4 separate regions of the Mus musculus genome follow, and all the other regions are reported to be linked to region 4. The links are microRNA targets in miRTarBase. Many come from high-throughput screens and were not tested one by one. Region 4 holds a microRNA gene; each other region holds the end of a gene's coding sequence.

Region 1 (3,084 bases), not on the chromosome of region 4:
CACAAATACCAGTACACTCAGAAGTCTCTGAATGCCCCCAAGTTGGTCACAAATGTGAAACATGACTCCACCTGTTATCTCACCTATATCTGTAGGTCTGCCTGAGGATTCCATAGCATACCCTTAACATTAGCGCCAGCAAGACAGGCAGCTATCATGGTGCATACCCAGCACGGGATAATCTTTATAGTCACAGGAATATGTCTTCCACAAACATGAAAAAAATTTTCAATAAGAAAATATTTATGACTTTCTTAAAACTCCATTACCAAAAATATGTAGAGTAAGAAAAATGAAGACAATCCATAATGTATGCAGGCTTTGGAATGACAGTCACGGATGAAAACTGAGCAATTATGTGTTATGGTATTTAGTGATTTAGGTCCTAACTTACCAACCTCAGATATGTACTCATTTTCTTCTTTAGCTCTGTGACAAAATACAGAAACAAATTGCTGAATACATCTACAATTAGAAAATTAAATTCATTAAAAATTAAGACATTACTTGTTATTATAAAGCTTTCTTAGGAAAAAAAATGTTTAAAAAGTCAAGTCAAAGTATTAAAATTTTACTATTTCTGCCTAGATTTACCATTTCTTAACAAAAGGAATTGTTTGTTTTTACATTTGGAATATAAAAGGAGTATCATTTACCCAAAACCCATATATACTTATTTATTTTAGTTAGCATGGAAGTCTGTATTGTACTGGTTTAAGTGAAAGACAGTTTTAAAAATAAGTAAAATATCTATTTATGAGATGATGGCACCTGTCTGTAACCCTGTACTCAGGGAGGAGAAGCACAAGTTTGAGGCTAGAGTGGGCTACACAGTGCAACCTGTTCCAGAACAAAATACAACCAATGCATTGACCTGTATCGCTGCCTAAATGTATCTTTAGTCTGAAAGTGAAACTGTAAGAAAGTAGATTCTTCACTCTTATTTACTGCAGGTATTACAGGTTGCTTTCTTGAGATGGCACCTTGGCAGGACTGCTGTTTCCTGACACTGAATATCTGAAAACAAACTGCTCTGGACAGTTTCATCATCTAGAAAGAAAGGGGTGTGTGTGTGTGTGTGTGTGTGTGTGTGTGTGTGTGTGTGTGTGTCTGTGTGTGTATGTGTGTGTGTGTATCGGGGTGGGCTAGATGACCTTTTCACAGCTGAAAATAGGTTTTGAAAGAAAAGGCTGACAGGAAGAAGAATCTAAGTAATAAGCACTCTTGATAAATGAGGCAGCTTCAAGTTAAAACTAAAAATGTAAATCAGTAGTTTTTAAAAATATTAAAAATTAGCTAGAATTACATGCATAGATGTTTAATCAGAAATAGAGGAACTTAAATACAGGATTTGTCAACAATAAACATCTTTAGTGCAAATAGTGCAGAAAGTTTTGTCAAATATAGCAGTCATTCTAATCTGTACGGAATCAGTCTCAGGTGATAGACAATCTACATCGCATCTGGACCTCAGCCATGGTTTCAAGTGCCCATCCCTAAGTCATAAATAGAAAACAATGTGCTTAGGCCTGTGTCCCATTTCTCTCTTGGTAGTTCATGGTTTCAGGAAAATCTGAAATGAAAAAAATGTCAAATTTAAGATTTAATTTAAGATTATCAACCCTGATCCTTTATACTGCCTTCCTGTTAAGGTATTGTAACTTGACTGGGAAGGAACTGGGCAAGGAAAAGATTACAGTGTGCTCCTTTCAATAATCTATTTCTACTGCTTGGGCTGGGATCTGGGATAAACACAAGTAGTATAAAAATTATCTCAGTTTGGAAATTAAGACGTAACACAATTCAGAGGCGATACTAATGGAATAAAAACTCGAGATAAGAAATGCCTATTACTCCATCCCTTTTCAAAAGAATCCCCCATGCTCCTCCTTAAAGTCCTCTCCTTCAGCCAGATGGCTGCATGCAGCTGATTCATCCTCTCCTAGGGATTAGTACTGCAACTCAAGACTCTCAGTGCACAGCAGCTGCTGTGGTTGATGGGTGACTAAAAAATGGAACTGGTGATGTAGGTCAGTGCTTGCTGAATACATGGAAAGCAATGGGTCTGATCAGACTTCATGCAGAAAGCGGAAACAGCCAGCCTGAGAAGGAAGATGCGTTTTGGTTACTGAGAGGCTTCGTCTGTCTCAGTAACTGGGCTGCACTTTCCTTAACTTTGTGTTCTCCTTCAGTTAACAAGCTCTTATTTCAGTTTGTGTGGTTTGAAAGAAAGCTACCCCAATAGACCTGGGTAGCTGACCACCTGGTGCTGTCTTGGGAGGTGGTGCAGCCTTGCTTGTAAGTCACTATGGGTGGACTTTGAGAGGTCACAACACACTGTATTAATAGTCTGCTCTCTGCTTCATGTTGTGGTTAAAGATGTGAACCCTCAGCTTCCCGCTCCAGCTGCCTGATGCTAAGCCTGCCTCACCATTATGGATTCTCCCTCACCAACAATAAACACAAATAACTTCTTCCATCTGTAAGATACCTTCGTCATGGTATTTTATCACAGCAATTGAATACGGGGCAAGGTTTTCTTCTGTAAACAAGACATTCCTAATGGTAGAAGCATGACTGTAAGCTACCCTTAGGAGAAACGCACACTCTCACTAAGGATACAGAAGTACTGAGAAATTATCTACAGAGTTCTTACTGGTTATAGATGTACTTATATGGTCATGTTTATAATTGTCAACATTTTAGAACAATCAACAACTATAATGGTAGAATCATGTTAAAGCAGTGAGCAGGCACTGTTAAGAACTATTAAGTTAAAGCACACTTGTATAACAGCCTTGAGACACTAGCTAGAAATGCATACCTAGAGAGGAGCATGAAATTGGCTGTGCATCGCTATCACCTGGTGAAGCTTCTCTTCTTTAGCTCTTCTACAGTGGCAAATCTAGAAGATAAATTATTTAAAATACCAGTCACTTTTCCAACTGCTTCCTACATTAAGACAGAATTCCAAGTAAGAATATTTTAATTTGTTAACATTCCTTTAGCTTTTTAACATTTAAGGTAGCTAGTAATTCTTCAGAATTTACAAGGAATCCAGAAGAACATTAAGGTTTGTGTGAA
Region 2 (3,091 bases), not on the chromosome of region 4:
AAAGAAACCTCAACAGGTAAAATACACAGTCATTTAATAACCCGTCTCCAGTGTCTATTATCACCTTTTAAGTAGAAGATTCTATGACAACATACTGTAAGAATTATTAGTATGAAATTAAGTCAAAAATAAAATTTGTCTCCAGGCATCGCCGAATGGAGGCTGTTCGACTTCGGAAAGAGAACCAGATCTACAGTGCTGATGAGAAGAGAGCCCTTGCATCCTTTAACCAAGAAGAAAGACGAAAGAGGGAGAACAAGATTCTGGCCAGCTTTCGTGAGATGGTATACAGAAAGACCAAAGGGAAGGATGACAAGTGAGGACTTCTTGGCTTTACAAGTGAATATTTTTAACATCGAAAAGGAAATTGTGGGTTCTAACAACAAAAGCTTATTGTTTTGTTTTTGTTTTGAGTTACTGTTTGATGTATGGTTTCAATTAGCCCAGGTTGACCTCAGGCTTTGTAGCCAAGGATGACTCTGAACTCTTGGTCTCCTGCCTCCACCTTCCAAGTGCTGAAATTCGAGGTGTGTGCCACCAGGCCCAGCCAAAAAGGCTACTGTGCTATGAAGTGGCTTTTCAGGGCTTCTGTGCCTTCTTTTTAATTCTTCAGTCCTTCAATAAAAGATGCTTGTTGATAAAATTAGTTAAGTTATTTGAGGCTTTTAAAGATTGACCCCAGCCTTCTGGTTTAAAAGTCCAAAGTCCTGCTATGTTCGGAAGGTGGCATAGAGAGAAAGTGGCAGATGAACGAGAAGGTTAAGTCTCACATCATGATCTGGTGTGACTATGATTATTAGCCCCATACAGTGTCTGCCACTATCCCAGCAGAACTTGAGAATTTCATATCTTGTTTTGAATGTGTTACAGATGGGCTTGACAGAAACTATTTAGGAGGCTATTTCTGTTAACAAACTGACGGTGTTGCTGTGCACAGCCACTCTGGAATTGGAAAACTGGCTTGCCTCTATAGTCGGCCCTAGAAATGTATACTGGGCTAACTCTACCTCTGCTCTAAAACCAAGCAAACCAAATGGCTGACTCACACATGTGTGGGGCAGAAAATGTGAGCATTAGCTGTTTCCCGTCCTATTACATTACTTACCATTGTTCTTTCAGTGGCTAGGATGTAGCTCAGAGTTAGAGCACGTGCTTATGAGGCCCCGAGCTACATCCCCAGCAGTGCAAAAAAGTTCCAAATGCAGTTTTGGGAGTCTATTGTGCCAATATAAGAATACTATTTCTATTTAAGCTGGTATTTAATAGAGGATAATATCTTAAAAATGAGTATTAAGAGTGCTAATAAGGGAAAATATAATAAGTCAGTATTTTAATTAAGCTGTTTCATGATGATGATGAAAGTAAAATATTAAACATTTTCAATTATGTCCTTTATATTACCAGATTTCTTGTTTGAGACAGAGTCTCACTATGTAGCCCTGGATGGCCTAGAACTCCCAGAGTTCCCCCTGCCTCAGCCTGCCAGGTGCTAGGATTAGAGGTGTGTGCCACTGCACCTCACTATAGGATTTTATTTTAAATATTGTTAAGCTCTTCAGCTTTTTATATCTGTCATGACTTTAATCCTTAACTTTCTAGAAACCCTCCTTACTTCATTACTGTTTGAAAGTTTAATATATGTTCTGAGAAAATGTGTTTCTAACCCACAACTGCTGAACTAAGCAGCAGTTAGCATGTAGTAAAATCTGTGATCTTTGAACTTGAAATTATTTCATGGTATTTATACGTCTCAGTCTGATAAGTATATAGTTTCCTAAAGTCTAATGGAAACTAGGTTCCAAAGTTGAAAGTCTTCTTAATCCATACACTTCCTCATGTAATACAATGTAAAGTTTATAATCGCTACTTTAAAAGTTAAAACGAAGGGCCATTATTTTTTGTTAAATGGCTCCTAGCAACTGGGTGAATATGTTTTTCTTTTTTTTAATAGGAAATGTAGTTTCAATGCAACAATTTTGTAGTGTATAAGTATTACAGATTTTCTTTTGATTATTCTCCACAGAGTATATACAGTCAATGAAAAAATAGGAATTTATTTAAAAATCTATCATTATTTAGTAGCAGTCCTTTAAAAAATGGAGGGCTAAAAGTATTTTATTTTTAGCTTGTTTGAATTATCCCTTCAAACTGTGTTCTTTCACCTGAGCTCTAAGTCAGCCATTGTTTGCAAAAACATATCTTTCCTTGTCTACAGAAGAAGAAACACACACTCGTGTACACACACACACACACACACACACACACACACACACTTATAATTGAACAAAACATTAAGCCAGGAATTTCCTCTTTGTTACATTCCTAGTGAACAAGGTAGTGGTTATGCTTCTATCTGTTTTCTTTATAGCTCTTTAGGCCTGAGTAAAGGCTATGTAGAAGTATTGTAATTTAAATATTTTGTTTTCTAAAGAGACTTACTCAGTTTCTCACCTCTTCGCCTGTTGTTTATAGGATTTCTCTCTTTTTTTATTTGTTGTACAAAGATAATAGGAAAAATAGAGAAATTGCTCAGTCCTACCACATGAATTGTTACAAGTGTTCTGTGTCCCTTGTACGTCTTTGTCATTTGAAGTGTACTGTAAAGTTGTCTTTGGTATTTTAAAATTGTGTGAGCAGGCATAGGAGTCCCATTGGGAAGTTAGGAATACATGATGATCCAGTGTGAAGACAGAAATAAGGAAGGGTGGTAACCCACCCCTGCTTCATTGCAATCATGAGCATGATGGGATGTTCAGAGTTTAGCAGTGAGGTCATCTGACAGTAGAAGAGATCTATGGGTAGTGGAGCCCTTCAGACTGTTAGTGTGAGATATAGAACGGTTGCCAGTTTGTTATCCAGATACCCATAAAAATGTCTATCAAGCCTAGAGCTAGGCAGAGAGAAGGACCAGACAGCTAAGGGCCAGTGGCTGAACTTTAGTAATGTTCACAACTCGACTCTGTGCTTGCCACACTCCAAAATCTTCTCCAGAACAGAAAACAACTTATTGCAGAATGGATAATGAATAAAAACAAAAACACAGTTGGGTTGTGTGCCATGAGTTTATTACTCAATAAATATTATGTGCTTT
Region 3 (3,091 bases), not on the chromosome of region 4:
GGGTCAACACGGTGGACAGCACGGAACTCGAGTGGCACATCCGTTCTAATCAGCAGCTGGTACCCAGCTACTCGGAGGTGTTGCTTATGGACCTGGTCGAGCTGGGCTCACGCTGCGGCGGGCCAGGGGGTAGCTACGTGCCCAGGTGTCGCTACGGAGGGGTTGGTGGCCCGGGCGCGGCGGGCGTGACCCCGCACTGGCGGAGCTGCGAGCACTGTCAGCGAGCGGTCAGCAGCTCGTCCATCTTCTCGCGCAGCGCGCTGAGTATCTGCGCCAGCCCGCGGGCTGCCCAGGGCCCTGGAGCGAGCGCGGGGTGTGGGGGCAGCCGCTTCTCGCTCAGCCGCCTCTACGGCTCCCGGCGCAGCTGCCTGTGGCGCAGCCGGAGCGGGAGTGTCAACGAGGCGAGCTGCCCCACGGAGCAGACGCGTCTGTCGAGCCAGGCCAGCATGCGGGACAACGAGGAGGACGAGGACGAGGAGGAGGCCGGGCCACCGCCGCCCTACCAGGACGCCCTCTGCTTCCCTGTCCTCATCGTCCATCGGCAGGAGGGGTGTCTGGGCCACAGCCACCGGTCACTGCACCGCCATGGCTCCTGCGTGGAGACCTCACTGTGACCTCCTGCCTTTGGAGGGAGCCTGCGCCGCCGTTCTCCTTCCTGCCTCTCCTTGTGTTGTGCTCCCTGTGTGTAGCAGGGGAAGGCAGGATGGTGGCTAAGGCCAGGCAGGGTATGAGGGAAGGCAGGAGGTGAGGGGCACTCTCAGACAAGACCTCAGTGATCTGAGACTGCTTCCCTGTACACAGACAGAGGCTGGGAGATTGGCAGCTCTCTTAAGAATCCCATCCACCTGGGCAGAGGTGTTTCTCTCCCAGTCCTCACCGAGTTCCAGCAGGGGGGTACACCCCCTTTCCCATGCACACTCGAGATTTCCCTTCCAGGCTTTCATCGAGTCTTGACTGTTAGTATGTTGTGGGACCCGTTTCTGGCCTCCCAACCAAGGGAGCCATCATGGTGGGTACCAAGAAAGGCAAAGCACTTGGGGCTTTTTTTTTTTTTTTTTTTTGCCCTGGCTCCCCGTGGAGATGGGCGGTGGTTTGGTGAAGAGCAGCAGAGTTGGCTTCCAGCCAGCAACTGTGTTCCCGGGTCTGAGGGTGGGGCCAGATGGCAGCCCAGTATTCATCTCCATACCTTGAAAGAGTTCTGGCCTCTCGGCGCTGCCTCCCGCCGCCGCTGGGAAAGCCACACTCAGCACTGTTGTTTGTTTCACTTGAGCCCCAGAGGTCCGGTCCTGGAGGGACTTTTCCTCACACCAATGACGTCACTCACCTCGGGGCTTACCGGCTCTGAAGAGCTGTTGTCAGGGTGCAGGGCAAGGGAAGGGAGGCTGGGAGGGCTCCGCAGGCCTTTTCTGGAAAAGACTCAGTCTCCGGTCCATCAGCTGCTTCCTCCCCTAGGTTCTGGGTAGGTGCTTCCGTCAGGGAGGCCATCCTGGAGGTCCTCATTAAAGCCCGCCAGGGGTGAGTGAGTGAGCAAGTGGACAGAGCCTGAGACACACCCCGATGTCGAGAGACCTCAGGAGTAGAGTTAGTAATGGCTGGTAGACTGAGACTAGCCCTGGAGGGATGGCGATGGGCTGGCGTGCTGTAGCTTTTCCTCAGCAGGCAGTGGAGCAAACACTTAAGAAGGATGTCCCTCACACATGCCTCCATAGAGCCGAGTCCATCCCAAACCCTAGCTAGAGAGATACCCATTTCCAGTGGCAGGAGATCCGTTCTCACCAGACCCTCCACTTCTTCCTGTCCAGCGAGTTGAAGCTCTAGGTCTTCAGAGGGGCTCCATGACACAGCCCCGGGGCACCAGCCCTTTGTCCTGTCCCTTCAAAGCTCTGACACCAACTTTGCTCTCCCCTATACCCTCTTACCCCTCCACCCCAGTGTGCATGTCTGTGTTTGGCCCCTTGCTCTCCCAGCTGCCCTGGCTGACGTTTTCCCAGCAGACTTAGTACCCAGGGATTGGGCTCACATCCATCCAATCTTGCTCCCTCTGCTTCTTGCTTTGCCTTCACCAGCAGAACTCCATCTTTTTGGCTTTCCCTCTTCCTCCTGGCTGTGCCAGGCCTATGCCAACCAATGGGAGTGGCCCCTACCTATGCAAAAATCTCCTCTGGCTCCCTGTCCCCTTTTTCCCTGGGGAATGTGGGAAGCCCTGTTGTGGGGATGCCATGGTCTAGGGCTCAAATGGGGGCTGAGCTTTCTGGTTATACAGAGATGCTTGGGTGAGGAGGGAGGGGTGTCAGAGAAGGATAGGTTTGGGCAGAAGGGAGCAAGCACACCACTGGGTTTCCTGGGCAACAGTGTCCTCTGGCCACTTAGCACAGAACCCTCCAGGACCCTGAATTTGAGGTGTGTGTGTGTGTGTGTGTGTGTGTGTGTGTGTGTGTGTGTGTGTGTGGTGTTGACTATTGGAGCACAGGTACTGAGTGAGCTGTGGCCTCAGGCCTCAGTTCTTGGCCAACTGGTACCTGAATGTCTTGTTCTCATTTAGGGGCAGCTTGGCCATCTTACAGCTCCAAGGAGGGAAGGACTTGGCTCATCCTCTTTCATTCTGGGTCCAGAAACTGAGCTTGGCCTTGGGAGAGGAGGGGGTGGGGAAGCCCCGTTATTATTTTTGCCTGACCATTTCTGCCTAGGTCTCCTTGCACAGACAGCCTCACCTCCCACACACACACGCACAGACTTAGAGAGAAAGCAATTCTTTGGTTTCTTTTCTTGGTAGCTTTATTGATTGCCAGGGAAAATGAAAACCAGAAAATTAATTAATCTCTAAAATTAAACTTTACACTGAATGTTCTTGTTTCTCTAATTAGAACCTCTGCTAGCAGCTGTGGCTACACACACACACACACACACACACACACACAAACACAGAGAGAGATACAGATACACACACACACACACACACCCTCACACCTACATGTTTGCACTCTGGAACTGTCAGAGGGTGTCAGGCACAGAGGACTCTAGGCTGCCCCCGACAGGCACACACACAGTCACTCCCAAGCCCCCTCTGGTGCTCTACTCAGCGCCTGCTTCT
Region 4 (3,091 bases):
AACTGATGACTGGTACAGACTCCAAAGCACTCTCGAGGGCCCACCTCGTGGCATTCTCTCTAATGGCTTGTTTTTGGATCCTCTTGCCCTTACTGATTACATGATAGCAGCTGTTCCTGCCTTGGGGCTTCGTATTGGCTGTGTCCTCTACTGTATTTTCTTCTGTGGGTCACTGTCGGTGCTAAATGCAGTGAAATGAACTAGCGAGACAGTGGGCCCTGGCAAGGGCAGAAGGAAACAGTGACATGGGGTGACCTGAGCGGTGGCATTGTGCAGACAACTGGAGGAGGAGAGAGGACAGCTCACACATATCAGTCTGGGTGGAGGGAAAGAGAGCTAGAGGCCAGCTGGATCTGGTGTGCTCTCTCTCTCTCTCTCTCTGTTTCTTCCCGAATCAGTGGCTTTAGATACACCATCGCATTATCTAAAACCTCCCTCCTTCCCTCCTCATCCTGCCTGCTCCCCCATCTTCTTAATTGGGGTCAATCTTTCCAAGTCTCTCAGCTCAAGGGAGGAAGTAGTATCTGCTGTAGCAGATGGTCCTACATTCTGGTGACATCCTAGCTTTCCAGGTATCCCTTGGAAACAATCTTGAGTTTGTAGCCTCCCAACAATATGAAAAGTTAGACTTAGAAAAAAAAATGTTTAAAAGGAAGTAAATAAATATTTTTTCCTCTGCTATTCATATAAATATTCTGAGATACAATAATAATAATAATAATAATAATAATAGCCTGAAAATACCCTGGGTGTGACCAGTTAGTTGAGAGCTGGCAGTGTGTGTGTGCCCTGTCAGCTGCAGGGTGATAGCTAGGATTTAATTGCCCTTCCTAAGATGCAGCTCAGTAGAGTGAGGTGAACTAGAGTCTTTCTATATACATGTCTCTGAGGACAAGACTCACAACAGCTTCCACGTTACCCAGGACCCAGTTGGACCGTGGACACTCAGGCTTCACCACAGACCTCCTGGCCTTATTTCCTGGGGGTTGGTGTGCACAATCAGCTCCAGGAGAGCCAATCAAGTCCTTGTGGATGTCATGTCTCAGTGTCCTCTTTATTAGGATGTCACAGGTAAATTCCTGTGGCTGGTGCCAAGACAAACTGCCTAGAACATTTTATTTGCTGGCTTGCTCTGATTAAAGTGGAGAACGCACTGCACTTTCTCGTTTGTGGTCACCTGCTAAATCTTTACCTTATTTCTGGTGTTGCCTAACACAGCGTCTCATACACAGCAGAAGAGAAAGAGTCACTAAATGAATGAATGAATCTATTTCCTATTTCCTTCGAAATTTGAGCCTCTGCACAGGCTGAGATGTACTGGCGTGCTTTGTGTTGTTGTTGGAGGTGGAATCTGGGGTCTTGTATATGCTGGGCAAGTGTTTCATCATTGAGCTATAACCCAAGAGCTAAAAAACTTGTTCCGGTGGCATTAGGGTAGCAGACAATTTTTGGGGAAATGAAGTTTGTTTCCAGAAGGCCTAGGGCTGTGGAATCCTGGGTATAATGGATGCTTAGAAGAGAAGAGATGACTTCAGGTCTCAAGGACTGAGGACATGTCCCTAGTTTTCAGTGACTGGCTTTTATACCACCAGAAGCTCTGCACACTCTGTACTGACCCTTTTCCTGTGAACTTCCCTGTGTAACATTTGTTCCTCTGTTTTATCAGCTGAATGATGGAACCTCACAGCCAAGAACTTTGAGAGGTCAAAAGGACCTGGCTGCTTCCTGCAGGTGGCAATGGCTTCCTTTCTTCTTCAGCCTTTAGACAGTTTGGATTTCAAATTATTCCATCACTTTCTAGAACATTCCAGATCCAAGCTCTCCTCTCCTATCACAGATGTATTCTGCAGCGCTGGGCCTCTCTACTGCATGTGGTTGTGGGAGAAGAAAGCCGCTGAGGTAGTTGAAGCCATGTTTAGCTTTTAGTTCTGTGAGGCAAGAGGGCCAGGACAGAGCATTTCCCCTTCCCTGTCAAGATATCAGCACCTGCTTGGGAAGCCAGAAGATGGAGGAGTAAAAAAGCTCCTGTTCCTCGGGGGCTTGCAGGTAAGGTCACGGCCAGTGCAGAGGTGCCAGTCTTCTCCTGCCCTATAAGGCTGCTGCTACCTGTGAAAGATCAGTGCAGTTGCTTACCTGTCACCTAGGCCAGATGGAGACACAGCCATCGGAGTCACAATTAGTAACACCTACTCACCATACACACACATGCACATGCACACATATACACATATATTCACATACTCACACACATGCACATGTACAAACATATACACACACATACTCACATGTACATGTACACACACACACACACACACACATATATATGTATATACACACCTGCACACACACACACACACACACACACACACACACACATATCAATAGAGAACATGCATATACACGTACATGCACTCATGCACATGCACACCCATGTGTATATGCACACACATACATACACATATACACATATGCATGCACACACACACATACACTTATTTCTATAGGAGGGTGTACATGAATGTATATCACATGCACACATGTATATGTGTGTGAATATAGGTGAATATACAGCCCCTCCCATCCTGGAAACTAGCACATTCATATAAGACACCATAATACAGCTTTTCAATATTTTCTTTTCTGTAAGAAAGTAGGGAATTGACTGAAGTCCAGGGCTGTTGCAGTTCAGAAGTTCGGCTCTTTATCTAAATGTGGCCCTGAGAGTTAGGCAGCAGATGGAGGTAACATGGCAGCTTCCAGGGCTTGGAGTCAATGACTTCAATGAACAAAAACAGACACTTTCTTTTACTCGCTCCATTGAGAACATGACCACACATTCCTGGCTCACAGGAGACCCCTAAATCTGGAGGCCACTCCACGATGTCTCCTCATCCTTAAAGTAGAAAGTGGGACTGCGGAATCTGTCATGTGCTCCATCTTGGGCCACTGATGGGGTCTGTGTGAGATGAGATCTGATTTGCCTCGGTTATTCTGGGATGCACATTGGCTACTCTGCCCACTTCATCCATTCTGAGCTACTACCAATCTCCATCCTTACAGGCAGCAGCCAATTTGAAACGTACAGTTGTAT

What was found. Region 4 holds the annotated microRNA mmu-miR-466i-5p (UGUGUGUGUGUGUGUGUGUG, at 2,299-2,318, opposite strand). A microRNA usually pairs through its seed, bases 2 to 8, with sites in the 3' UTR of a target mRNA and lowers its output. Matches are read on the target gene's strand: a 7mer-m8 pairs with bases 2 to 8, a 7mer-A1 pairs with bases 2 to 7 and ends in A, and an 8mer does both.
Region 1: the mRNA of Vps37a is a reported target of mmu-miR-466i-5p. Seed matches in the 3' UTR shown: 7mer-A1 at 1,128-1,134, 8mer at 1,126-1,133, 8mer at 1,124-1,131, 8mer at 1,122-1,129, 7mer-A1 at 1,114-1,120, 8mer at 1,112-1,119 and 21 more.
Region 2: miRTarBase lists Nkap as a target of mmu-miR-466i-5p. Seed matches in the 3' UTR shown: 7mer-A1 at 2,224-2,230, 7mer-m8 at 2,225-2,231, 7mer-A1 at 2,238-2,244, 8mer at 2,239-2,246, 8mer at 2,241-2,248, 8mer at 2,243-2,250 and 12 more.
Region 3: the mRNA of Tmem151b is a reported target of mmu-miR-466i-5p. Seed matches in the 3' UTR shown: 8mer at 2,716-2,723, 8mer at 2,718-2,725, 7mer-m8 at 2,720-2,726, 7mer-A1 at 2,888-2,894, 8mer at 2,889-2,896, 8mer at 2,891-2,898 and 20 more.

The regions. Positions count from the first base shown.
Region 1 is chr8:40,544,765-40,547,848 of GRCm38, reverse strand. Vps37a (vacuolar protein sorting 37A) reads right to left here. Exons shown (of 12, transcript NM_033560.3): 11 at 2,825-2,905; 12 at 1-1,573. The coding sequence ends at 2,825. Among named protein-coding and RNA genes, the nearest start is that of Vps37a, 35 kb to the right of the region's middle.
Region 2 is chrX:37,147,646-37,150,736 of GRCm38, forward strand. It overlaps Nkap (NFKB activating protein), which reads left to right. Exons shown (of 9, transcript NM_025937.4): 9 at 146-3,091. The coding sequence ends at 320. Akap14 (A kinase (PRKA) anchor protein 14) reads right to left here. Exons shown (of 6, transcript NM_001033785.2): 6 at 3,053-3,091. Among named protein-coding and RNA genes, the nearest start is that of Gm39503, 5.0 kb to the right of the region's middle.
Region 3 is chr17:45,542,350-45,545,440 of GRCm38, reverse strand. It overlaps Tmem151b (transmembrane protein 151B), which reads left to right. Exons shown (of 3, transcript NM_001013749.2): 3 at 1-3,091. The coding sequence ends at 614. It overlaps Tcte1 (t-complex-associated testis expressed 1), which reads right to left. Exons shown (of 5, transcript NM_013688.2): 5 at 2,762-3,091. Among named protein-coding and RNA genes, the nearest start is that of Tmem151b, 5.8 kb to the left of the region's middle.
Region 4 is chr3:85,466,609-85,469,699 of GRCm38, reverse strand. Mir466k (microRNA 466k) reads right to left here and starts at 2,323; the gene lies at 2,202-2,323. All of the region lies in intron 1 of Gm31419 (a long non-coding RNA gene), which reads left to right.